Linked DNA regions of Pelodiscus sinensis. The protein of the gene in region 1 purifies or fractionates together with the protein of each later gene. This does not show direct contact. Links are inferred from orthologs where the notes say so. Each region holds a gene or a part of one and is shown in the gene's direction. Other genes may lie near its edges.

Evidence for each region. Proteins that work in one complex are often made in the same cells at the same time.
Region 2: the proteins of SF3A1 (region 1) and HNRNPU purify together in Homo sapiens (affinity purification with mass spectrometry; 3 studies listed by BioGRID and IntAct, with this or other methods). This does not show direct contact. The link is inferred for Pelodiscus sinensis from reciprocal best matches to the Homo sapiens genes SF3A1 and HNRNPU.
Region 3: the proteins of SF3A1 (region 1) and HNRNPC fractionate together in Homo sapiens (co-fractionation; 3 studies listed by BioGRID and IntAct, with this or other methods). This does not show direct contact. The link is inferred for Pelodiscus sinensis from reciprocal best matches to the Homo sapiens genes SF3A1 and HNRNPC.

What each region holds. Positions count from the first base shown.
Region 1 is NW_027465935.1:507,807-514,796, reverse strand, and holds the start of SF3A1 (splicing factor 3A subunit 1), read left to right. Parts: upstream 1-3,972; 5' UTR 3,973-4,069; coding exon 4,070-4,132; intron 4,133-6,990. Other genes in the region: CCDC157 (coiled-coil domain-containing protein 157), read right to left, coding at 1,671-1,942, 3,261-3,263. UniProt on the Homo sapiens protein: Component of the 17S U2 SnRNP complex of the spliceosome, a large ribonucleoprotein complex that removes introns from transcribed pre-mRNAs.
Region 2 is NC_134713.1:132,534,129-132,541,713, reverse strand, and holds the start of HNRNPU (heterogeneous nuclear ribonucleoprotein U), read left to right. Parts: upstream 1-4,571; 5' UTR 4,572-4,760; coding exon 4,761-5,472; intron 5,473-6,407; coding exon 6,408-6,519; intron 6,520-6,633; coding exon 6,634-6,707; intron 6,708-7,585. UniProt on the Homo sapiens protein: DNA- and RNA-binding protein involved in several cellular processes such as nuclear chromatin organization, telomere-length regulation, transcription, mRNA alternative splicing and stability, Xist-mediated transcriptional silencing and mitotic cell progression.
Region 3 is NW_027465841.1:161,163-168,639, reverse strand, and holds the start of HNRNPC (heterogeneous nuclear ribonucleoproteins C1/C2), read left to right. Parts: upstream 1-4,463; 5' UTR 4,464-4,602; intron 4,603-7,477. Other genes in the region: G-protein coupled receptor 4-like, read left to right, coding at 525-1,475. UniProt on the Homo sapiens protein: Binds pre-mRNA and nucleates the assembly of 40S hnRNP particles. Interacts with poly-U tracts in the 3'-UTR or 5'-UTR of mRNA and modulates the stability and the level of translation of bound mRNA molecules. Single HNRNPC tetramers bind 230-240 nucleotides.

The sequences.
Region 1 (6,990 bases):
AGTTAAAAAAAAAAAATTGACCTTTTTAAGAGTAGAGCAGGCATTGCCCTTTTAAGGCGGCCATTTTGAAGTCTGCCCGAGCGGATGGATGGACTGGGCTCTTTCTTGGAGGGAGAATGATGGGGGGGGGAGCTGGGCCATCTCACCTTCCACTGGAATTTCTTCACGCCCCCCCCCCCTCTGGGGGCCACGTTTCCCAGTTTGGGAACCCATGAGACTGTTTTGGGGTAGAAATGAGGCAGGGCTGGACAGGCATGGGTGCATGTCCCCAGCTGTGGGGCTAGAGCAACATTCCTCTGAGTTCAAACACCGATCAATTTCACTGCCACAGGGACTTCATATTGGTCAGTTTCAGGATGTTCCCATGGTGCTACAACCATGGGGTTCGTGATCCACCAGGGGATCGTAGGGGACTGTTCCAGATTCACGTGACTCTAACACGCCAGACGCAGCTACATGGTCTGTACGACCGTAGGCTGCGTCTAGACGGGCAAGTTTTTCCACATTTTCCGCTTTTGCGGAAAAGCTTGCCAGCTGTCTACACTGGCCGCTTGAATTTCCGCAAGAACGCTGACGATCTCATGTTCAAATGCTTCTGCGCAAGAGGGCCAGTGTAGATAATGGGGTATTGTTTTGCGCAAAAAAGCCCCGCTGGCGAAAATGGCGATCGGGGCTTTCTTGCGCAAAACCGCGTCTAGATTGGCACGGACGCTTTTCCACAAAAAGTGCTTTTGCGGAAAAGCGTCCGTGCCAATCTAGATGCTCTTTTCCGCAAATGCTTTTCACGGAAAACCTTTTCCGGGAAAAGCATTTGCGGAAAATCATGCCTGTCTAGATGCAGCCGTAGTGTTTTCCCAACAGGCATTTCTGGAATTGGGGCTGTTCCCGGGCCAGTCTTTTAACCGTAGAATCCTAGGGTTGGACGAGCCCTTCAAGACACGCGTGGCCAATCCATGGCTTGTGAGCCTCGTGCAGCTCTTTCCCCCTTAAAGTGCGTGTCACCTCACTGGATTTTAACGGGAGCAGCCAGATCACTGCTGCACCCTTGGGTGGGGGGGGAGGTTGCCCCAAAGGGAACCATGTGAGGTGTCTCATGAAAGCTTCTGTTCTACTGATTCTGTATGTGCTATTCATGTACTTGTATGATATCTGTATGTGGAGTTATAAGCATGTACTCTGTAGGGATGCTGGAAAATTCTCTGTGGCCAGGAATGCTCAGCCAATGGCTATGCTAATTAGCAAGGCTCCAGGCTATGCTAATTAGCAAGGCTCCAGGCTATGCTAATTAGCAAGGCTCCAGGCTATGCTAATTAGCAAGGGCTGTGTCTAGACTGGCAAGTTTTTCGGCAAAAGCAGCCTGATGTGTCCTAAAAAGACTAAGTCTGTGTTTTTTCAAGGGGCAGTGACTTTTTTTTTTTTTGGCTTAATTTTGGTGCGGCTCTTCGTGTTATTTCCGCCGCTGATTCGGCTCTCTTTGTTCAATGGGTTGGCCACCCCGGCCTCAGGAGGTCATCAAGTCCAGCCCCCTGCCCAAAGCAGGACCAACCCCAACTCAATCAACCCAGCCAGGGCTTGGTCAAGCCGGGACTTAAACACCTCTAGGGACGGAGACTCCACCTCCTCCCTAGGGAACCCAGCCCAGGACATGAACAGTTCTTTCATCCTCGCACCTGTCAATCACTAGTTCCAGGAGCACGACATGGGAATGCTGGGTAAATTCAGGGTCGTTCTCCACATAGTCATACTGCTCCAGCAAAGCCACCAGATCCAGCTCGCAGGACACTTTATTGGGGAACTTCCAGGAGGGATAGCGCGCGGCTCCCGCCCGGGAGAAAACGTCGACGATGGCTCCTTGTAGGTCGGTGAGGTCCTTCCTCAAGCTCTCCATGCAGTTCGGATCGCCCAGCAGGTGCGCCATTCGGACCGGGCAGGAGGGGCAGATCTGCAGGAGGGGACAGATTCACTAGCTGGGCCCCTAGGGAAAGGGGGGCAGGTGTTTTACGGCTGTGGGTGCACGACAGGCCGTGCCCCTGGCCCGGCACACGTGTGCACGAGGGACGCGTGTGCTGCACGAGCACCAGCCCAGCCAGACATGGGGCCTCCCCGCCCCTGATCCCAGCTCCATCCCCACTCTGATCCCAGCCTCCCCTCCCACCCCGATCCCAGCTCCGCCCCACTCTGATCCCAGCCTCCCCCCCCGATCCCAGCCCCACCCCCCACACTGATCCCAGCCTACCCCCCAATCCCAGCCCCGCCCCCCACTCTGATCCCAGCCTCCCCCCCGATCCCAGCCCCACCCCCCACACTGATCCCAGCCTACCCCCCAATCCCAGCCCCGCCCCCCACTCTGATCCCAGCCTCCCCCCCAGATCCCAGCTCCGCCCCCCACTCTGATTCCAGCCTCCCCCCCAGATCCCAGCCCTGCCCCCCACTCTGATCCCAGCCTCCCCCCAGATCCCAGCCCTGCCCCCCACTCTGATCCCAGCCTCCCCCCCCAGATCCCAGCTCCACCCCCCACTCTGATCCCAGCCTCCCCCCCAGATCCCAGCTCCACCCCCCACTCTGATCCCAGCCTCCCCCCCAGATCCCAGCTCCGCCCCCCACTCTGATCCCAGCCTCCCCCCCAGATCCCAGCTCCGCCCCCCACTCTGATCCCAGCCTCCCCCCCAGATCCCAGCCCCGCCCCCCACTCTGATCCCAGCCTCCCCCCCAGATCCCAGCCCCGCCCCCCACTCTGATCCCAGCCTCCCCCCCAGATCCCAGCCCCGCCCCCCACTCTGATCCCAGCCTCCCCCGGCCCCACAGCAGCTAACTCAGCTGGCAGCTGTTCAGCGGACAGAACCATCCAATCCAAGGGGGGGCACTCCGCTGCTTTACACCCCCCTCCCCCCGCGTGGAACAGTCCATTTTCTTCCCCTGCGCAGCACCGCCCCCTGGAGGACGGGGGAGCCAAGCGCGGGCAGAGCGAAGGGCAGCGGCGTCAGCAGGGCTACTGCGCATGCTCCGTGCCTCTCGCGCGCTCCCGGCGCCCCGAAACCATGGCGACCTCAGCCCCCCCTCCCCCCGCGCATGGTACTGCCCACCCGGCGGGGGCTGAGGCCCCGAGCCAGGCCGCGCCGCCCGAGCGGGGGTGGGACCCCGGGGATACGGGCGCTGGGGCGGGACCCACCTGCCGAGCCTCCGCCCCCCCGGCTCGGAGCGGATCCTTCGCGCCCCCGTGGCCGCGCGCCTCGTTACCACGGCAACCGGGCGGAACGAACCATCTGCGCCGGAAACTGTTCGCCGCGCTTCCGGCTCCCTCTCCCCCGAGTGGGCCTGCCCCACGGAAGGCCAGCCCCTCCTCAACTATTCTGCTCGTCTTTCACGGGTTTGGTTTCCCCCAGTAGGGCGTCACGAGAGAAGCGCTCCCCCCCTCCCCGTTCTCTCAGTGGAATATTCCGAGTTGGCTCCCTCACAGTGAGGCAAGCCCGGCGGGCTGCGCGCGCACCCACTGCGTGGCTCCCCCCCACCCCACTGGTATCGCCGCCCAGCGGACACCCCCCCAGTTCCGGAGTAGAACAGTCCCCCTGGGCTGCGCGCGCAGGCTCTGCGTGGCTGCCCCCACCCCACTGGTATCGCCGCCCAGCGGACACCCCCCTAATCCCGGAGTAGAACAGTCCCCCTGGGCTGCGCGCGCAGGCTCTGCGTGGCTGCCCCCACCCCACTGGTATCGCCGCCCAGCGGATACCCCCATAATCCCGGAGTAGAACAGTCCCCCTGGGCTGCGCGCGCAGGCTCTGCGTGGCTCCCCCCACCCCACTGGTATCGCCGCCCAGCGGACACCCCCCTAATCCCGGAGTAGAACAGTCCCCCTGGGCTGCGCGCGCAGGCTCTGCGTGGCTGCCCCCACCCCACTGGTATCGCCGCCCAGCGGACACCCCCCCCTAATCCCGGAGTAGAACAGTCCCCCTGGGCTGCGCGCGCAGCCGCTACGCAGGGCGAGGCAGCGCGCGCAGCGGCCGCCATTTTGGGTCGGTGTCCGCCGGCCGCTCGCTCCCGTCGCCCCAGGCCAGGCCGCTGAGGAGGCGCCATGCCGGCCGGGCCGGTGCAGGCGCTGCCGCCCGCGCAGCCAGCGCCCCCCGAGCCCAAACAGGTACCGGCCGGGCCGGGCCCGCACCCTCCCCCCCCCCCGCGCGGGCAGGCCCCGGGGCGCGGTGCATGCTGGGAGGGTGACCCGAGCGCGGCGCGCCCGGCCCCGCCCTCCGCGCCTGGGGGGGGGGTCTGGATCTGCCCCCCCCGCGCATGCCCGTCAGATCCAGACCCCCCCTCACAGGCACCGGGGGGGGCAGATCCAGACCCCCCCTCACAGGCACCGGGGGGGGCAGATCCAGACCCCCCCTTCACAGGCACGGGGGGGGCAGATCCAGACCCCCCCTTCACAGGCACGGGGGGGGCAGATCCAGACCCCCCTTCACAGGCACGGGGGGGGCAGATCCAGACCCCCCTTCACAGGCACGGGGGGGGCAGATCCAGACCCCCCTTCACAGGCACGGGGGGGGCAGATCCAGACCCCCCCTTCACAGGCACGGGGGGGGCAGATCCAGACCCCCCCTTCACAGGCACGGGGGGGGCAGATCCAGACCCCCCCCTTCACAGGCACGGGGGGGGCAGATCCAGACCCCCCCCTTCACAGGCACGGGGGGGGCAGATCCAGACCCCCCCTCACAGGCACCGGGGGGGGCAGATCCAGACCCCCCCTTCACAGGCACGGGGGGGGCAGATCCAGACCCCCCCTTCACAGGCACGGGGGGGGCAGATCCAGACCCCCCTTCACAGGCACGGGGGGGGCAGATCCAGACCCCCCTTCACAGGCACGGGGGGGGCAGATCCAGACCCCCCCTTCACAGGCACGGGGGGGGCAGATCCAGACCCCCCCTTCACAGGCACGGGGGGGGCAGATCCAGACCCCCCCTTCACAGGCACGGGGGGGGCAGATCCAGACCCCCCCTTCACAGGCACGGGGGGGGCAGATCCAGACCCCCCCCTTCACAGGCACGGGGGGGGCAGATCCAGACCCCCCCTCACAGGCACCGGGGGGGGCAGATCCAGACCCCCCCTTCACAGGCACGGGGGGGGGCAGATCCAGACCCCCCCTCACAGGCACCGGGGGGGGCAGATCCAGACCCCCCCTTCACAGGCACGGGGGGGGCAGATCCAGACCCCCCCTTCACAGGCACGGGGGGGGCAGATCCAGACCCCCCCCTTCACAGGCAGGGGGGGGCAGATCCAGACCCCCCCTCACAGGCACGGGGGGGGGCAGATCCAGACCCCCCTCACAGGCACGGGGGGGGGGCAGATCCAGACCCCCCTCACAGGCACGGGGGGGGGGCAGATCCAGACCCCCCTCAGGCACGGGGGGGGCAGATCCAGACCCCCCTCAGGCACGGGGGGGCAGATCCAGACCCCCCTCAGGCACGGGGGGGGCAGATCCAGACCCCCCTCAGGCACGGGGGGGGCAGATCCAGACCCCCCTCAGGCACGGGGGGGGCAGATCCAGACCCCCCCTCACAGGCACGGGGGGAGGCAGATCCAGACCCCCCCCCTCACAGGCACGGGGGGGGGGCAGATCCAGACCCCCCCCTCACAGGCACGGGGGGGGGCAGATCCAGACCCCCCCCCTCACAGGCACGGGGGGGGCAGATCCAGACCCCCCCCCACAGGCACGGGGGGGGGGGCAGATCCAGACCCCCCCCCCACAGGCACGGGGGGGGCAGATCCAGACCCCCCTCTCACAGGCGCAGGGGGGGGGGGCAGACCCACAGGTCGGGCCTGGGCAGGGCTCGGAGCGGAGCTGCCAAGGCCAGGGGGGCCAGGGACACAGCAGATCTGGGTCCAGAACAGATCTGGGGGGCAGGAAGGGGTTGGGGGGGAAGCGGTCCTTCTGTGCTGGCCTGGCCTGTAGGTTCCCCCTGTGCCCCAGTACAGGGACGTGCCCCCCACTTTTGGGACCTCTGGGAGTTCCTGAGCACGTGGGTTAAATCTGTGTTTCTCAACCTTTCTCCATAAAGTATCCCTTTAAAAAAAACTAAACATTTTCAGGGGGGACACACTTTTTTCCCCCCCACCATTGCAACACATTTGTTGCAACAACGTCATCGGCGCCGGGCGGGCGATGACGTTTTTGGGTGTAAAAAGGGCAAAACGAATCAAGCGCTGTCAAACTGAAAACCCGAATTCCGTTTTCTCCAAATGTCGGTGGTGACGTACCCCCAGACTTCTCTCAAGTACCCCCTAAGTCCGGGCTTCCCAAACTGGGGGGCGTGAAGAAATTCCGTGGTGGGGGGGGCCCATCAACTCCTCCCCCCCCTAAGTTTTGCTGCTATTTTTGTTTTTCGGCCAGGTCAGTTTTCTTTTTCTTTTCTTTTCTTTTCTTTTCTTTTCTTTTCTTTTCTTTTCTTTTCTTTTCTTTTCTTTTCGCTCAAGTTCTGCTGCGGGGTGGGTGAGTGGGAGGGTTTCTCAAAAATCAAAAACAGGGTGGTGATGCCGAAAAGTTTGGGAACCATTGCCCTAAAGGGACTCATACCACTGGTTTCGAAACACTGGGGTAACCGCCCCGCCAGCCGCTGGGAGAGCATTCTCTGCCCCGGGCGCGCGATCCTGGCGCGGCTGCCCCGGGCGTGCAGTCATCTAGCGGCCTGGCTCTGGCCATTGGAGAGTCGTAGGCTGGCGATATGCCAATGCGGGCAATGTCATACCTCATGAATAAACAGATCCGGGTCGGTCTTAAAGCCACCCAAGTGTTTGTCCCAGCGCTCTAGTTTTCTCCAGAGGGGCACTGACCACGGTGTGTGTGCGTACTATTGATCCCTCTGTCACCTGGCCCCCGCTAGGGGGTGCTGTGCACCTGGGGCAAAGGATGAATTCAAAAAAGCAGTTAATTAGATAACCATGAATATCTCGGCAGTTACGCACTGCCGACTCTGCAGTATAAAGCTTTAGATGCAGGCTCTC
Region 2 (7,585 bases), on another chromosome or scaffold:
TGGTGTCAGTTCTGTTTTGTTTTGCAAAGGCTCATTTATAACAATGGTGATCAGCTAGAATTCAGAATACTGATAGAAATGTAGCCGTGTTAGTCTGGTCTAGCTGAAACAAAAAACAGGACTATGTAGCACTTTAAAGACTAACAAGATGGTTTATTAGGTGATGAGCTTTCGTGGGCCATCTTGTTAGTCTTTAAAGTGCTACATAGTCCTGTTTTTTTGTTTCAGCTAGAATTCAGACACTGAAAGAAGTGGACTGATGTCAGACCCCATCCTCCAATGACCACTGAATGCATCAAGGGAAGCACAGGGTAAAAGGGGAGAAGATGGGAGAAAGCAAAACTAAAACTGTAGACATTCAGAGAAGTGCCCCTGTCTGTCTCTCTCAGTCTGGAAGATGTAAAGGATCGGAATTGCTATCAGACACACAGAAGACTCCTGCCATGTGACAGACAGAATGGCATAAATAAATTGGAATCAGTCTAATCAAGGCTGTGCGTGGGATGGGGCGCTGATCAAACGGCATAGCTTCCACTCGCTCAGGGCCCAGTCTAAAACTTGTGATAGTCTGTTGAATGATTGGGTCTCTGAGCAAAAACTGCTTAAACAGTACATGGGAGTGTGGAAGCTACTGAGTATATGCTGCCACTCCTTCAATTTCCATATTTTATTCTGGGGGGAGAGGGAGAAGGGGGAAGAAGGATGGAGAAAGTCCTTCCAAGAACATGGATGACAAAAAGCAGTGGAAACTAAGGACCATGGTCAGTGGGGGCCAGGAATTTGAAGAGAGCCATTTAGTGATAAGGAGAAGTGAAGTTTGGCAAACGAAATAAGAAAACCAGACTCAAGGAGTAAATGTGTATGCATCAATGTCAACTAGGAGGAGACCGAAGTTAAACTGTAGCAGGGCGCAAAATAAGCGTTCGAAAGACACGCTCTAAGAGTATCTTTGAGGGATGTTTCAAGAAGAAAAAATAAACTAAAATAAATGCAGAATAAGTAGAGAAGAAAATAGACCCCACAAGGAATTAGGGTATTATGGTTACTTTAATTATAGCACCTACTTGTCACTTTCAGTTTAGATGCACAAGGGTGTCTTTTATCATGTGACAGAATGGTATGTGCCATAAGATCTAGAATATGGACACTTGTAATTTAACATTAGTAGAGGGTTTTTATATCTGTCATTCTAGCTGAGTAACTCTAAGTTTTATTGTGGTAAAACAGTTGCTACTAGAACTCCCTATTTTCAGAGGTTCATAATTGTCTAAAGGTGAATGTTTCAGATATGCTTGGCTGAGCTGAAACAAGGGGTGATGAAAACTTGAGTAAAGTCCTGTCCTCTCAGCTGTCTAAGCTATTTTAAAAAAAGGGGGGGGGGAATATATTTCTCTCATGCCTCCTAATTACACTTTTTGTTTTTAAAATAGGGCTATAGCCCCCCCCCCCCCCAAAAAAAAACCTTAAAATTCTGAAACATTTATAGGACTCAAGACTAGTAAGTCTTTTATTTGGGAAAAGATTGTCTTTAACAGAGTGATTGTATGACTATAATGTATCTGTCACTTTTCAGAAGCCTACTGATGCTAGTTCATACAAAATGAAGCTAAACAGGGTTCTATGTGTATCTTAATCATTTTCATGTCCATTCTTTCTCAGTTCCAACTGCCAAAGACTCCTATCAGAGGCAGCAGCATGGGGGGGGGGGGAGAAGAGGAGGCTGCCACTGAGCAGCCTCTGTCTGCAGCAAGAACTCCAAGCTTTGCAGTAGCAGTCCTTATCCACGGGTGTCCAAGCTCCCCATGGAGCAGCTTTTGTCCATGGAGAGCTCAGACCCCATGGACAGAGGCTGCTGCTACCCCATGCTGCTGCCTCTGTATCAGAGGCAGCAGCACAGAGTGGCAGGCAGCCAGTCTGTGCAGGGAGCTGGCTTTTGAACTAGTTCCCTTCATGGACCAACAGAGGCAGAAGCACAGTGTGGCAGGGGACTCCCCGAGAATGGGGTTGGCGTACACTGGCTGCCATCTCCGCCCCTGGAGATATTGAATAGTTGTGTAACTGCTAAGCTTTCACATAGTTATAGTGAAATTGAATAGTCAACGTCCCTATTATAGGTGGACACTTGCTGCAGCATCTGACAGGGTTTTTCCACCACAGTAGTTAATCCAGCACTCCAGCAGTAGCCAATGGTGACTGCATTGGAGCTTGGGACATAATTTTTCACAATTCTTAGTAATGCAATGTAGATACATTGATCTAAGTCTTAAGTGTAGACAAGGGATAAGCAAAAGTGGTTTAATGATCAGAGGTGCTGAAAATCCCACCTCCCATTAAAATTCAATGGGTGCTGCATGTGTTAAACATCTCTGTAAAATTAGACTTTCTATTTAGGTGCCTAAATATTACTTTAGGATCCTAACTTTAGACCCCTAAGTTTGAATGTTTTGGGGGAAGTAAATCTTTCAACATGCATGAAAATCCTTAGCCGTTTTGATACTCCAGGGTTGCTCTATAGATGTATAAGAAGAGTATTACTAAAGTTGGCCAATATGATTGAATGCATACAGGGATTTGATTTCTTGATGCTTCCTTACAATTGTCTTCAGTGTAGGACTATTGTTGTGAGTCAAAATGAGGGTACCATTCAATATAGATGTGTGTTAAGTGGATTAAGGCAGGAGCTAGTGCTTACGCTAAAAGGAGCCCATCAATCTGTAAAGCTTGGATCTGAAGCTAGGGAGTAAAAATTCCTGGTGGAAGCTAGGATTTGTGTGTTTCAATGGGCAGCCATATTAGTACATGAATATGGTATTTAGGTTCATGGAGTCATGTGATATCAAAACTGAATCCATTCATTGTTAGGGTTCAGTTTACCCTTTCGCTTGCAAAGAAAACCCCAAAAATGGCTTGTAAACTGATGCAGCGTTGTCTGCAAACTATAGGAAGGCATCTTAAAACAATAAATCTGGCTATGTGTACACAATGTCACTTACAGTGGTTTGTGCCACTTTCCACAGCTCCCATTGGCCAGAATGGCAAACAGCAGCTAATAGGAGCTGTGGGTAGCCATACCTGCATCCACAAGGTAAACAACCTTTCTGGCTTACCCTGACGAGCCATGTGTGGCCTACCAGCCTTAGGTTGCCCAACCATAATTTAGATGAAAAGATTAGGGTTTGATTACCTTTGTTGGCTAGCCCTGACCAAACAACAACCTTTCCCCTAATACAGACACAAGCTAACAACCTTGACCTCTCTTTAGCTGGTCCAGATTGACATGAGGCTCCCTATTTTAGGATTCACTTGGCAGCTCTAAATTTGATGTAAAATCTATTAACCTTTATAAATGCTAGAAAAAGATCAGGGCTATCACCACCTTTCCTCTAATATTCTTTACAGGCTGTGTGTGCGAAAGAGCGAGTCCTTGCTGCTGTCACCTGAGCATTACTCAGGGTTGATTTCAAGGGAGAATCCTCCCTACTCGAGGATTATTTTTTTTTTCTGATGACTGAGCAATAATATGAGAGCTTTTATGAACACAGATGCTGTACTGCTTTAATTATACCAGTATAGTTAATATTGTACATCACCCTTAGTGATGTACAATACAGCTTATTCTAGTTCAGAAAGGAAAATCAGTTACACCAGTATAAGGCACTTCTATGCTAGTATAACTGTGCCCATGGTAGAGGTCAGCCTATTACAATATCAGTTATCAATCCTATTCATAACTCAGTTGTACCAGTATAACCTTTTTAGTGTAGACAAGGTCTAAACTAAATTGGTTTAAGCACCTTCATATTGGTATAACTGTGCACCCTAAAAACATTTTACTGGTGTAACTGCTGTTATGATCAAGGCGGCACAATTTTTATGGGCAGACAAAGGCTTAGATCCAGGAGGTTGGATCCTACTATGCTTGTGAACTCTGCAGACTGACTAGGTGTGAGCTGTCGGGTCCGTACTTGGATTCTGACTCTGTAAGCCAATCGGTGAAAGAGGACCCTATAGGGAACCTGAGTGATGTTCAAGCAGGCACAATTTGTGTACATGGAGCCGATCACAGGAGTGGAGCCTTCAGTTCCACAGACTAACAATGTATTTTTCCCTTTTTCTGATGGATGATGTAGATGGGGATCCCACAGCTTCCTGAGGCAGAGCCAAAATACTCCAATTTACCCTTCTGGAAGGGGAGACTACATCTTTTCTTACTTATTGGGCAACATGCAAGATTTAAATGGACACGGTACGGGATTGTAGGTTGAAGCTTTCTAGCTAGTCAGCTGCACTTCCACTGCTCCTGTCTATAATCGTGGTCAGCCAGTGGCACAACCAGAGTAACACGCGGGGGCTCTTTGGTAAGAGCACTGGTGTTCCTCCTGTCCCATGAAAGGTTCATACCTGCCCCTTTCGCGGCGCTGCAAAAGCTGGGGCTAGGCAGGTTGAATGCGCTGGGGCGGGCATTTACGGTAGTGGGGTTTTGGAGGCGCTCGGCGGCACTTACGGTAAGTAGGAAAGGGGGGGGGGGTATATTGCGTGCGCGGGCAGGGCGGGCACCAAGCTGCGTGCTCGCCCCCGCGAGGCGCGTCTCTCCCTCGCGAGCTCGGTGAAAGGATTTGGCGCCAGGCGGGTCCGCTCTGCAGCTGCCGCAGCCGCACGAACCAGCCGCGCCACCCACCCAGCCGCGTCCCACCGGGGCCTCGACCCAGCGCCGCCGCCCGACCGAGCCCAGCGCCGCCAGGCACCGCGCCGCCGCCGCCATGAGCTGCTCGCCCGTCAACGTGAAGAAGCTGAAAGTGTCGGAGCTGAAGGAGGAGCTGAAAAAGCGGCGTCTCTCCGACAAGGGCCTCAAGGCCGAGCTCATGGAGCGGCTCCAGGCCGCGCTAGACCAAGAGGAGGCCGGCGGGGGAGGCCCCGCCGGCAGCGCCGCCGAGCCCGGCAACGGCAGCATGGAGGGGGAGGCGGCCGGGATCGGCCAAGGGGGAGGCCCCGACCAGGCCGCGGCCTCCACCGCCGAGGACGACGAGGAGGAGGGGATGGAGGCGGCCGATGGCGACGCCATGGAGCTGGGCGAGGAGAACGGCGACCGGGCGGGGGCCGGGGGCGGCCCGATGGAGGAGGAGGCGGGCGGCTCGGAGGAGGAGGAAGAGGAGGATGAGAACGGAGACGACCAGGGCTTCCAGGAGGGGGAGGACGAGCTCGCCGACGAGGAGGAAGAGGAGGAGGCTGAGGCCGGCGACGCCAACGGGCACGGGGAGCAGCAGCAGCAGCCCCAGCAGCAGCCGCCGCCGCTTCTGCAGCCCCAGCAGCGGGCGCCCGCCAAGGAGGCGCCCAGCAAAAGCGGCGCCCCGGGACCCCCGGCAACGGCGCCGGCCGCCTCGGCGGGCCCCGCCAAGTACCAGCCGCAGCAGGACAAGAAGAAAGCGGAAGGCGGCGGCGGCGGCGGCCGCCCCGGGCCCCAGGCTGCCGGCGGTGAGTGCGTGGCCGGGGCCTTTCCGGGAGCTCGGCACGAGATCCGGGCCCTGCCCGGCTGCCGAGGGGATTCGCGCTCCTTATTCCTCCTCCCCCCGCCCACCGGCGGCCTCGTGGGGGGGTGTCTCGGGCAGGTGGGGTCGCTGCTCGAGGGCGATGGGGGAGGGCGGGACCGTTGCGCCAGTCTCCGAGCGCGGCGGGGGATGGGGGGGGGGAGCGAGGGGCATGGGCTGCTGCGCCGTGGGGGAGGGGCGGTTCAGGAGGGGCCGCTGGGGCGCGCTGTATTGTGCAAACGAACGTTCGGCGGCGTGACGTTACTTCCGTCCTGGCTGCTGCTCAGGCTCGCGTTTTTGGAACGCTCGATACAATGGAGGCGGAATCCCCTTCCCTGCGGCCAGGCCCCATGCGGAGCTGCGCCGCCGCCAAGCTGCGCCTGTGGCCACGCGGGGAGAGAGGCGCAGCAGTTGTGTAGCGCCCTTGTGCTTGGCTTCACTGTGCCCGCGGCGGGAAGGGAAGGAGGGTGTAAACGATCCATTTAATACAGTGAGCTACTGGTCTGCTTTCTGCCTAACCTCCCATTTGTCTGAACACAGCAGGTGTCTTCTCTGTTGAGCTTGTACACACAAGTTCATATTATTCTTGTCACATTTTTCACAAGTCTGACGATTCATGAGGTAACTTGAAATCATTGTCAGATTCTTAGTGCTGCCGTTAAAATTTGCAGTGTTGTCCTAATAGATTTTATCTAAATGATTAAGAGCACACCAGTTACCTGCCCAAAAATTAAATGGATATCTTTTATATGGAGACTTCTTACATGTTTGAATTTGAAACCTGGCATTTAGGGAAATACCACCCCAGAAAACTAAAACTAAAACACATTTCTCAACAGGAATTACCTTAAACATATTTTTCTCTTAACTTACTTTCTGTAGGCGATACTAAAACAGAACAAAAACCTGGTGATAAAAAGAGAGGTGTGAAGAGGCCTCGTGAAGACCATGGTCGGGGATACTTTGAGTACATTGAGGAAAACAAGTACAGCAGGTAGAGAAACTTCAAAGCACTAAATATTATTAGATCTCTGAAGAGAAGCCAGGTATTAATTACTTTGTAAAAACAGTTGAGGAAAAACTCATCAAATTTTATTGTTGATTCTAGGGCCAAATCTCCTCAACCACCTGTTGAAGAGGAAGATGAACAGTTTGATGATACAATGGTTTGTCTTGATACTTGTAAGTACTTTTTAAAAAAAATTAACGACATTTTTTTAAAAATAAATTGCTTGATGAATTGTAGTAAGAACATACAGATTGCTTTCATAATTAAAAGTGACTTCTGAAGTCCTTGAGGCTTATGCCCTTTTTCTGTGTTTTATGGTATATGAAGAAAGCCTGGGCTTTCCTCTTATTTTGTTCTCTGTATGATGGTTCTTTTAACTTTAAAAATATTACCCCCAGTTTTGCTGTTGAATTAGGCTGGGGAAAGGGCTTCAGGGTGAACTTAAACTTTTCCAAAAAGTTCACTGGTTACTGAAGCAGGTCTTCTCAAATGAGATTCAAAGTGGAGAGGAGAGAATACAGAGGACCTAAACCACAGTGGGGGAGGAGGAGGACCTCAGGCTGGTTCAGATTGAGAACTTAATTATGAAATATGTTCAGGCTCTGTTATGGTTCAGCCCTGGTAACTTGGGAGGAAAGAAGCAGTTTACCTCAATTTCATAGCTTAAACACTACACGGATAAGAGCAGTATTGCGATGAAGTAATCCTGCTGATATTAATAAATTAGAACAAACCATATGTTGACTTCTAATTGATAGTCATTAGCTCAAAGCAGGAATGAGCTGGTATACATGGAGAATTCTTACCACTTGGGTACAAACCTCATAAGGCAGTTAAGTTTTATTGTTCATTTGTAAAGTGAACTGTACATTAGTGTTGGAATTAATTCAGCACTAGTATGTCCAGTTCAAACCATGTATTATGTGATTACAAATTTACTATGAAAAAACAATGGGGAGAAAATGACCAACTTGTGAGCCCTTGCTGTTGCCACTAAGGCTAAAGTGTGTGGGGGAGGGGACTTGGTCTTTAAGATGTGACATGGCAGTAG
Region 3 (7,477 bases), on another chromosome or scaffold:
CCTCCTAGTGGGTGGCGTGACCCCACCCAGTGGGAGCACCTTTTGGCCAAGCAGACACACCATGGCCCTTTCTGGCCAGAGCATAGGCTGTTTTGCGAAGGTAGTGCCTTCCCTTGCCTGTGGTACTCGCTGCCCATGACTAACAAGGAGTTAAAAACCCTAGTTTCAGGCTTGTTCTCTAACTCATATCCCAACACAAGGGTTTCTTGGCAGTGGAATCCCAGCCATTGTTGTTTGATAAAGAGAGCAAGGAACAAAGGATAGAGTCAGATGCTTGGGCTGCCTTGCTGCTTTCCTCCAGCCCTTGTTCTCTCTCTCTCTCTCTCTTACAGACCCCTTGAGGAGTACAACTTGGGAGTAAGCTAAGTGAGACGGTTCCTCTTTGAGGCAGTCTCCCTGGACAACTGGATGTAGCCTCCACCCTGGTGGTCACGTGGTGACCCTGAGAACAGGGGTCTGTGTCCCCCTCCATGCAGGACAGCAACTGACACCCTTGGTAACAACCACTGTCTCTGCTGAGTAGAATGAATAGCACGGCATCTTCTGTGTCCTGCCCAATGGCCTTTAACACCACCAAATACTTCCTCATCCCTGTCTACTCTGTGGTACTGGGGGCTGGCTTGCCACTGAACTGCCTGGCAATGTGGGTCCTGGTATCCCAGATAAAGAAGTCCATCGTCCTCTCTGTCTATATGTTGAACCTGGTGGTCGCTGACCTACTGCAGATCTTGATGCTACCTTTCTGGATCTACTACAGCTATTTGGATCACAACTGGGTTTTGGGGCTCAAGGCCTGCCTGGCAGTCAGCTGGGGCTTCATCACCAACTTTTATGCCAAGAATGGTTTCCTGTGCCTCATTGCTATGGAGCGCTACATAGGCCTGGTCCATCCCCTTGAGTTCCGGAGGCTAAACACAATATGTGGTGCCACCAAGGTCAGTGCCATGGCTTGGGGGCTGGTGCTCAGCGTCTGTTCCGTGGGGATTGGTCTACTGCTGAAGAATCTAGAACCAGAGCGCTGCAATGAGGGTTATCCACTGGGGAGGTCCTATGCATATTTTAAGATGGCCACCATGCCTTTGTCCTTTTTCCTACCTTGTTTCTTCATGGGCTTCTTCTACCTTCGGGTCCTGCACAAGCTCAGGCAGGTGCCATCACTGGATCAGGAGGAAAAGCAGCAAATCTACGGATTCATTTCCCTCATCATCATCTCCTTCTTCCTGCTCTGTGTGCCTTACCAGGTGACCTCCCTCTACAAATACCAGAGAGAGAGGCTTCCATACGATCAAGACAGCCAACTCTGCCTCTTTGAAACAAACCTCTTCTTTTACCATCAGGTAGCGCTGTGCCTTACCACACTTGGCAATGTCTTGGATCCTCTGCTGTACATCCTGCTCCTTAAAGATGTGCGGAAAGAAATTGGAAATCACTTGTATTGCAAGGTCTTGGATCGGGGGCAGTCACAAGTAGATTAAGGCAAGAATGGAAATATTAGGTGGACACTGGTTCAGACTGATGCATAAGATACCCAGTGAGGTGGTGGGAATCCATTTGGATGTCAAGGTCCCTGCATCGGACCAGGGATTGGCCTTGTTCTCTGCTTCCCTTTTATGAAGCAACTCTGCCCCTGTAACCACAAAGAAACATGAAGGGAAACATGATCCCTCCAGGGACTTCTATTCACTCAGAACCTCTTGGAGAAGTACCTTAGAGACAGGTTGAGTTGAGCCACAAAATAATAATAATTAGATTGGTTCATGAATACTACATATTAGGTCTTTTTGCATTTATGGTTAGAGCTCTAGTTTTTCACAGCAATCAGGGACCTATCGTGATCTTTTAAATAAACAGTAAGTCTCATGGAAACATATAATCTCAAAAGATGGGCCTTTAACATTTAATATTTTGAGGCTATTGATAATATTGGGAAAGGTAGCAACATTGGATGGGCACATGATGAATTAACACAGACCACTAGACTAGGCTCTAGGATTGGATATAGATGGATAAGAACAGGTAGTGCCAGAGTTACCCACGGGGAAGATCTTATGCACATTTTAAGACAGCCACCATGGCTTTGTCCTTCTTCCTGCATTGTTTCTTCATGGACTTTACCTCCAGGTCCCACATAAGCTGAGGCAGGTACCATCATTTTAAAAGCTGGACCTTTAGCATTTAATGTTAGCGTGGAGAAGAAATTCATCCAAACTTACAGGATATAGAGACATAGATCTTTGCTGGTGAAAAAAAGACCTACTCTCCACAAAGGGTGAAAGGTAAAGAAATCGTGCCCACAGGGGAAAAGGAGAGAGACCCAGAGCAAGCAAAAAGCTGTAATTTAACCATGATGGGACAAAGAGAAAGGTCACTCATGTCTATGCTACATTCCCACTTAGTTCTGAGCAACAGAGATATGAGGAATTGTCTACCCGTCTGGTGGGCCACATGTGGCACATCTGGGTTCTATGTGTGCAATGTGGCAGGCAGGGTCCTCTGCCCCAGGGAGGTCCTCTCGCTCCCCGTCGTCCCGACGCCCACTTGGGCATGCCCCAGTGTTCTCCCTGGCTGGGAGGACACTGATCCGTCGGCCAAATCTAATCAGGTGACAGTCTCTCACAACACTCCAATGTTGCAGGCCTGCTCGGCCCGCTGGCAGCTGGGGGAAGGTAGGGGGGCTCGGGCCCACCCCCTCACCCAGCCCTGGCCCAGGGCCCTAAGGCCCAGGATTCAATTCACTGGTCAGGTTGGTGGGGTTGAGACCCTTAATGCACCAACCCTTCCAAAGCCCTGGGCCACTTCTTCCTTCTCTCCTGCTTGCTTCCCACCGCTCCGTCTTGCCACCCCTTTCTGCAGCAGGGGCGCTTCTTTTGAACATCCGCTGACAACGTGGCCAACACTGGGAGGGCCGTGCCGCCACTCTCGGCCCCTCTCTCTTCCTGGTCCACGGCGTACTGGCACTGGCAGGCGTCGCCAGTCAGCAGCGTGTCCGTGCATTCGGTGTCGGCTAGGAGCGCCCCTGCAGCTTCTCCCCTGCCCACTGAGGAAGGTGCTCTTGGCAGGTGGGGTGATGGAGCATCCTCCTGCTGGTTGCCAGCCGCTGCGGAGCATGTGCAGCAGAGCCAAGTTCAAGCTGGTGCCACCTCAAGTGGGTCCTGGTCAGCTGCCGTTTCCTGTTACAGCAACCTTCTATCAGGGAAATACCATTAAATATTCCAGTCTGAATAAATTCCAGGTCACTAACCTCTGCTTATTGACACTGACCACCTCCAGAGAGAGGATTTCATGCCCTGACTGGAGTTGCCTCCCTCCTGTGCTCACCAAAAGCGTTCTCCTTTACTGCTGAACCTGTGTCCTCCTGGAACGAGCTGCATGATGTGGTGATGGAAGTCTAGGGTGAGTGAAACCAGGCAGTGCTGCGGTGGGAGTGAGCCTGGGGGCATGTCAGAACCGAGAGCACACGTGTTGTGGAGCCACGAGGACGGCTGCAGGGGACACGGCTCAAAGAAACCCACTGAGCCCAGCATGTCTTTTGTGCATGCGTGCGCTGAGCAGCTGGCCCCTCATCCCTTGGGGGGGCACTTCTGGTCCGACCCGAGTGCCTCTGTCTCACAGCCTGTGCGAAGGGCAGTAGCTCCCCCAGGAGGACGCGTTGCTGGCCTCCCCCCGTGCCTGGGGGGGGTCTCAATGGAGCCCCATGAAGCGCGTGTGCAGCCCTTGCCCAGTGGAGTGGGACCCACACGGTGTAGCAAGGGGCTCAGGAGGGGGCAGCGGGCACAGGACCCACCTGAGCCCTTGCCCCGCCCCGTCAGCTCCCCCAGACCCCCCTTCTCCTCCCGCCCCGTCAGCTCCCCCAGCCCCCTCGTGGACCTAGCCCCGACTGGCGCCAGCGCGCGCAGCCCTCAGCCTCGCGCTCGCTGCTCGCCCCTCCCACCTGGGCCATGACCCGCCTTCCGGCTCAGCAATGGCAGCGTCAGGACACCTAATCGTCATCCCCGCTGTGACCAATGGGAAATTCCGCCACCAGGGAGCTCTTCCAATCACACACGCTAGAGCCCGCCTTTTCCTCCATTGGGTCAGCTAACAGTTGAGAGTTGATTAACATACACAGTAGCCAACCAGTGCGGAGAAAACTAGAGTGGGGTCGGCTAAGAAAAACCTTTAACCAATCATAGGGACCCATGAGCTAGGGCGGGGCCGGAGGAGCTGCTTCTCCAATCAGAATGGAAAGATTGTAATAGAGACGGGGAAAGAATGACAGGCCAATCAGAGTGGACAACTGAAGTAGGGCTATGAAGTGACACGTTCTTCAGCCAATCAGTATCTTTATTTCCGTCCCGTTAAGGCGCAAGGGGCACAGCCCAGTCCTGGACTCGCCCTCATCCTCTCTGCTCTCATTGGCCTGTACTGTGATCGACGCCATTGCTAGTCAATCATTGCTGAGACAGGTTTCGCGCCCTCCAATGGGGGAGTGTGGGGGCGGGCACCGCTTAGCCCGGGGCTGCGCGGCGCAGAGGGCGGCGGGACGCCATTTTGTGAGAAGCTCGGCGTGAGGCGGCTGCCGCGAGCTGGGGAAAGCGACGCGGAGCCGAGCGGGGTCTAGCGGTGAGTGAGCGGGGGCTCCACACCCCGGGACTGGCGCGGGCCGAAGGAGGGTGCACACACCCCTCCCCCTCGGGAATGGCGCGGGCCGAAGGGGGGGGGGAGGGTACACACACCCCTCCCCCTCGGGAATGGCGCGGGCCGAAGGAGGGTGCACACACCCCTCCCCCTCGGGAATGGCGCGGGCCGAAGGGGGGGGGGAGGGTACACACACATCCCTCCCCCTCGGGAATGGCGCGGGCCGAAGGGGGGGGGGAGGGTACACACACCCCTCCCCCTCGGGAATGGCGCGGGCCGAAGGAGGGTGCACACACCCCTCCCCCTCGGGAATGGCGCGGGCCGAAGGGGGGGGGGAGGGTACACACACACCCCTCCCCCTCGGGAATGGCGCGGGCCGAAGGGGGGGGGGGAGGGTACACACACACCCCTCCCCCTCGGGAATGGCGCGGGCCGAAGGGGGGGGAGGGTACACACACACCCCTCCCCCTCGGGAATGGCGCGGGCCGAAGGGGGGGGAGGGTACACACACACCCCTCCCCCTCGGGAATGGCGCGGGCCGAAGGGGGGGGAGGGTACACACACACCCCTCCCCCTCGGGAATGGCGCGGGCCGAAGGGGGGAGAGGGTACACACATCCCTCCCCCTCGGGAATGGCGCGGGCCGAAGGGGGGGGGGAGGGTACACACACCCCTCCCCCTCGGGAATGGCGCGGGCCGAAGGGGGGGGGGAGGGTACACACACCCCTCCCCCTCGGGAATGGCGCGGGCCGAAGGGGGGGGGGAGGGTACACACACCCCTCCCCCTCGGGAATGGCGCGGGCCGAAGGGGGGGGAGGGTACACACATCCCTCCCCCTCGGGAATGGCGCGGGCCGAAGGAGGGTGCACACACCCCTCCCCCTCGGGAATGGCGCGGGCCGAAGGGGGGGGAGGGTGCACACATCCCTCCCCCTCGGGAATGGCGCGGGCCGAAGGAGGGTGCACACATCCCTCCCCCTCGGGAATGGCGCGGGCCGAAGGGGGGGAGGGTACACACACCCCTCCCCCTCGGGAATGGCGCGGGCCGAAGGGGGGGGAGGGTACACACACACCCCTCCCCCTCGGGAATGGCGCGGGCCGAAGGGGGGGGAGGGTACACACACACCCCTCCCCCTCGGGAATGGCGCGGGCCGAAGGGGGGGAGGGTACACACACCCCTCCCCCTCGGGAATGGCGCGGGCCGAAGGGGGGGGGGGTACACACACCCCTCCCCTCGGGAATGGCGCGGGCCGACGGGGGGGGGGAGGGTACACACACACCCCTCCCCCTCGGGAATAGCGCGGGCCGAAGGGGGGGTACACACACCCCTCCCCCTCGGGAATGGCGCGGGCCGACGGGGGGGGGAGGGTACACACACACCCCTCCCCCTCGGGAATAGCGCGGGCCGAAGGGGGGGTACACACACCCCTCCCCCTCGGGAATGGCGCGGGCCGAAGGGGGGGGTGCACACACCCCTCCCCCTCGGGAATGGCGCGGGCCGAAGGGGGGGGGAGGGTACACACACCCCTCCCCTCGGGAATGGCGCGGGCCGAAGCGGGGGGAGGGTACACACACCCCTCCCCTCGGGAATGGCGCGGGCCGAAGCGGGGGGAGGGTACACACACCCCTCCCCTCCGGAATGGCGCGGACCGAAGGGGGGGAGGGTACACACACCCCTCCCCTCGGGAATGGCGCGGGCCGAAGGGGGGGGAGGGTACCCACACCCCCCTTCCCCCGGGAATGGCGTGGGGGGGGTGGCATACATGTTTTTTCCCTTTTCTGTTAATGGCGGTGCCCTGGAGGAGGGGCCATTTTGTCGTCCCCCCCCCCCACCCTACCCTCCAACAGTGGTGGTGGGGAATCTGCCCTTTTTTCGGGGAGGCCCATGCAGGGAATTGTGAGGGGGAATGGTGCTGCCCAATCTGAAAACCTCCAGTGCAGTGGTGGGGGGCAGTGAGGGGATGACTGACAGTGTGAATATCCTGCCCCAGGGGACATGCCCCTGGGGGGTGGAGAATGGTATGTCCAAGGATAACTCTCCTGGTTTGTGTTCCCTGCTCTCTCCCCTTGCAGGAGGAGGGGAACTAGACACATGACCCATGGCTGTGGGTGTCTAGACTCTGGCTCCCCTGCCTTTGAGCTTAGTGGCAGGAGTCACTCAGGAAGTCAGATGTGTCTGAGGTAGTTTTGGGGCTGGGGCAGAGGGTGTGAACTGCCTCCATGGTCAGAAACCGCTGTCCCCATGCACGCTTTGTCAGGTCCACTTGCAATGGTACCTGCGTGGCAGGGATCCTGGGAAGGGCAGCTAGCCCCCTTATTACTAAGGCCTTAAGAAATTCATGGTCCATTTGGGCCGATTTTATGGTCACAGGATTTTCAATAATTCTATGGTCCTAGCCCAAAAAGGAGTTGTGGGAGACAGGTTGCAAAGTTATTGAAAGTGGGGTTGTGATATTGCTGCCCTTATTTCTGCAGCTGCAGAGCCCTAGCTGGGAGCTCTGTTCTCAAGGCATCACATACATAATGGTGGCAATATTATGACCCCCTAAAATGTATAACCTCCCTGCAATTACCAGGACCCCCAGTTTGAGAAACACTGGTCTTCCCTGTAAAATCTGCATAGAATAGGGTAAAAACCCGGAGCACCAGATTTCATGGGGGGCAGGGAGGGGAGGACAAAGCCAGATTTCTTGGTCCTTGATGCATTTTTCTTGGCTGTGAAGTTAGTAGGGCCCTATGTGTTACCTCTGATTCAAAAAGAAGCTCTGTATGGTCTCTGGGCACAAACATCACTGTAGTTAGGGATTTGAGCAGCTAGTGCAAATGTCCTGTGTCAGGCTTTGCCTGGAAGGCACCATCTAA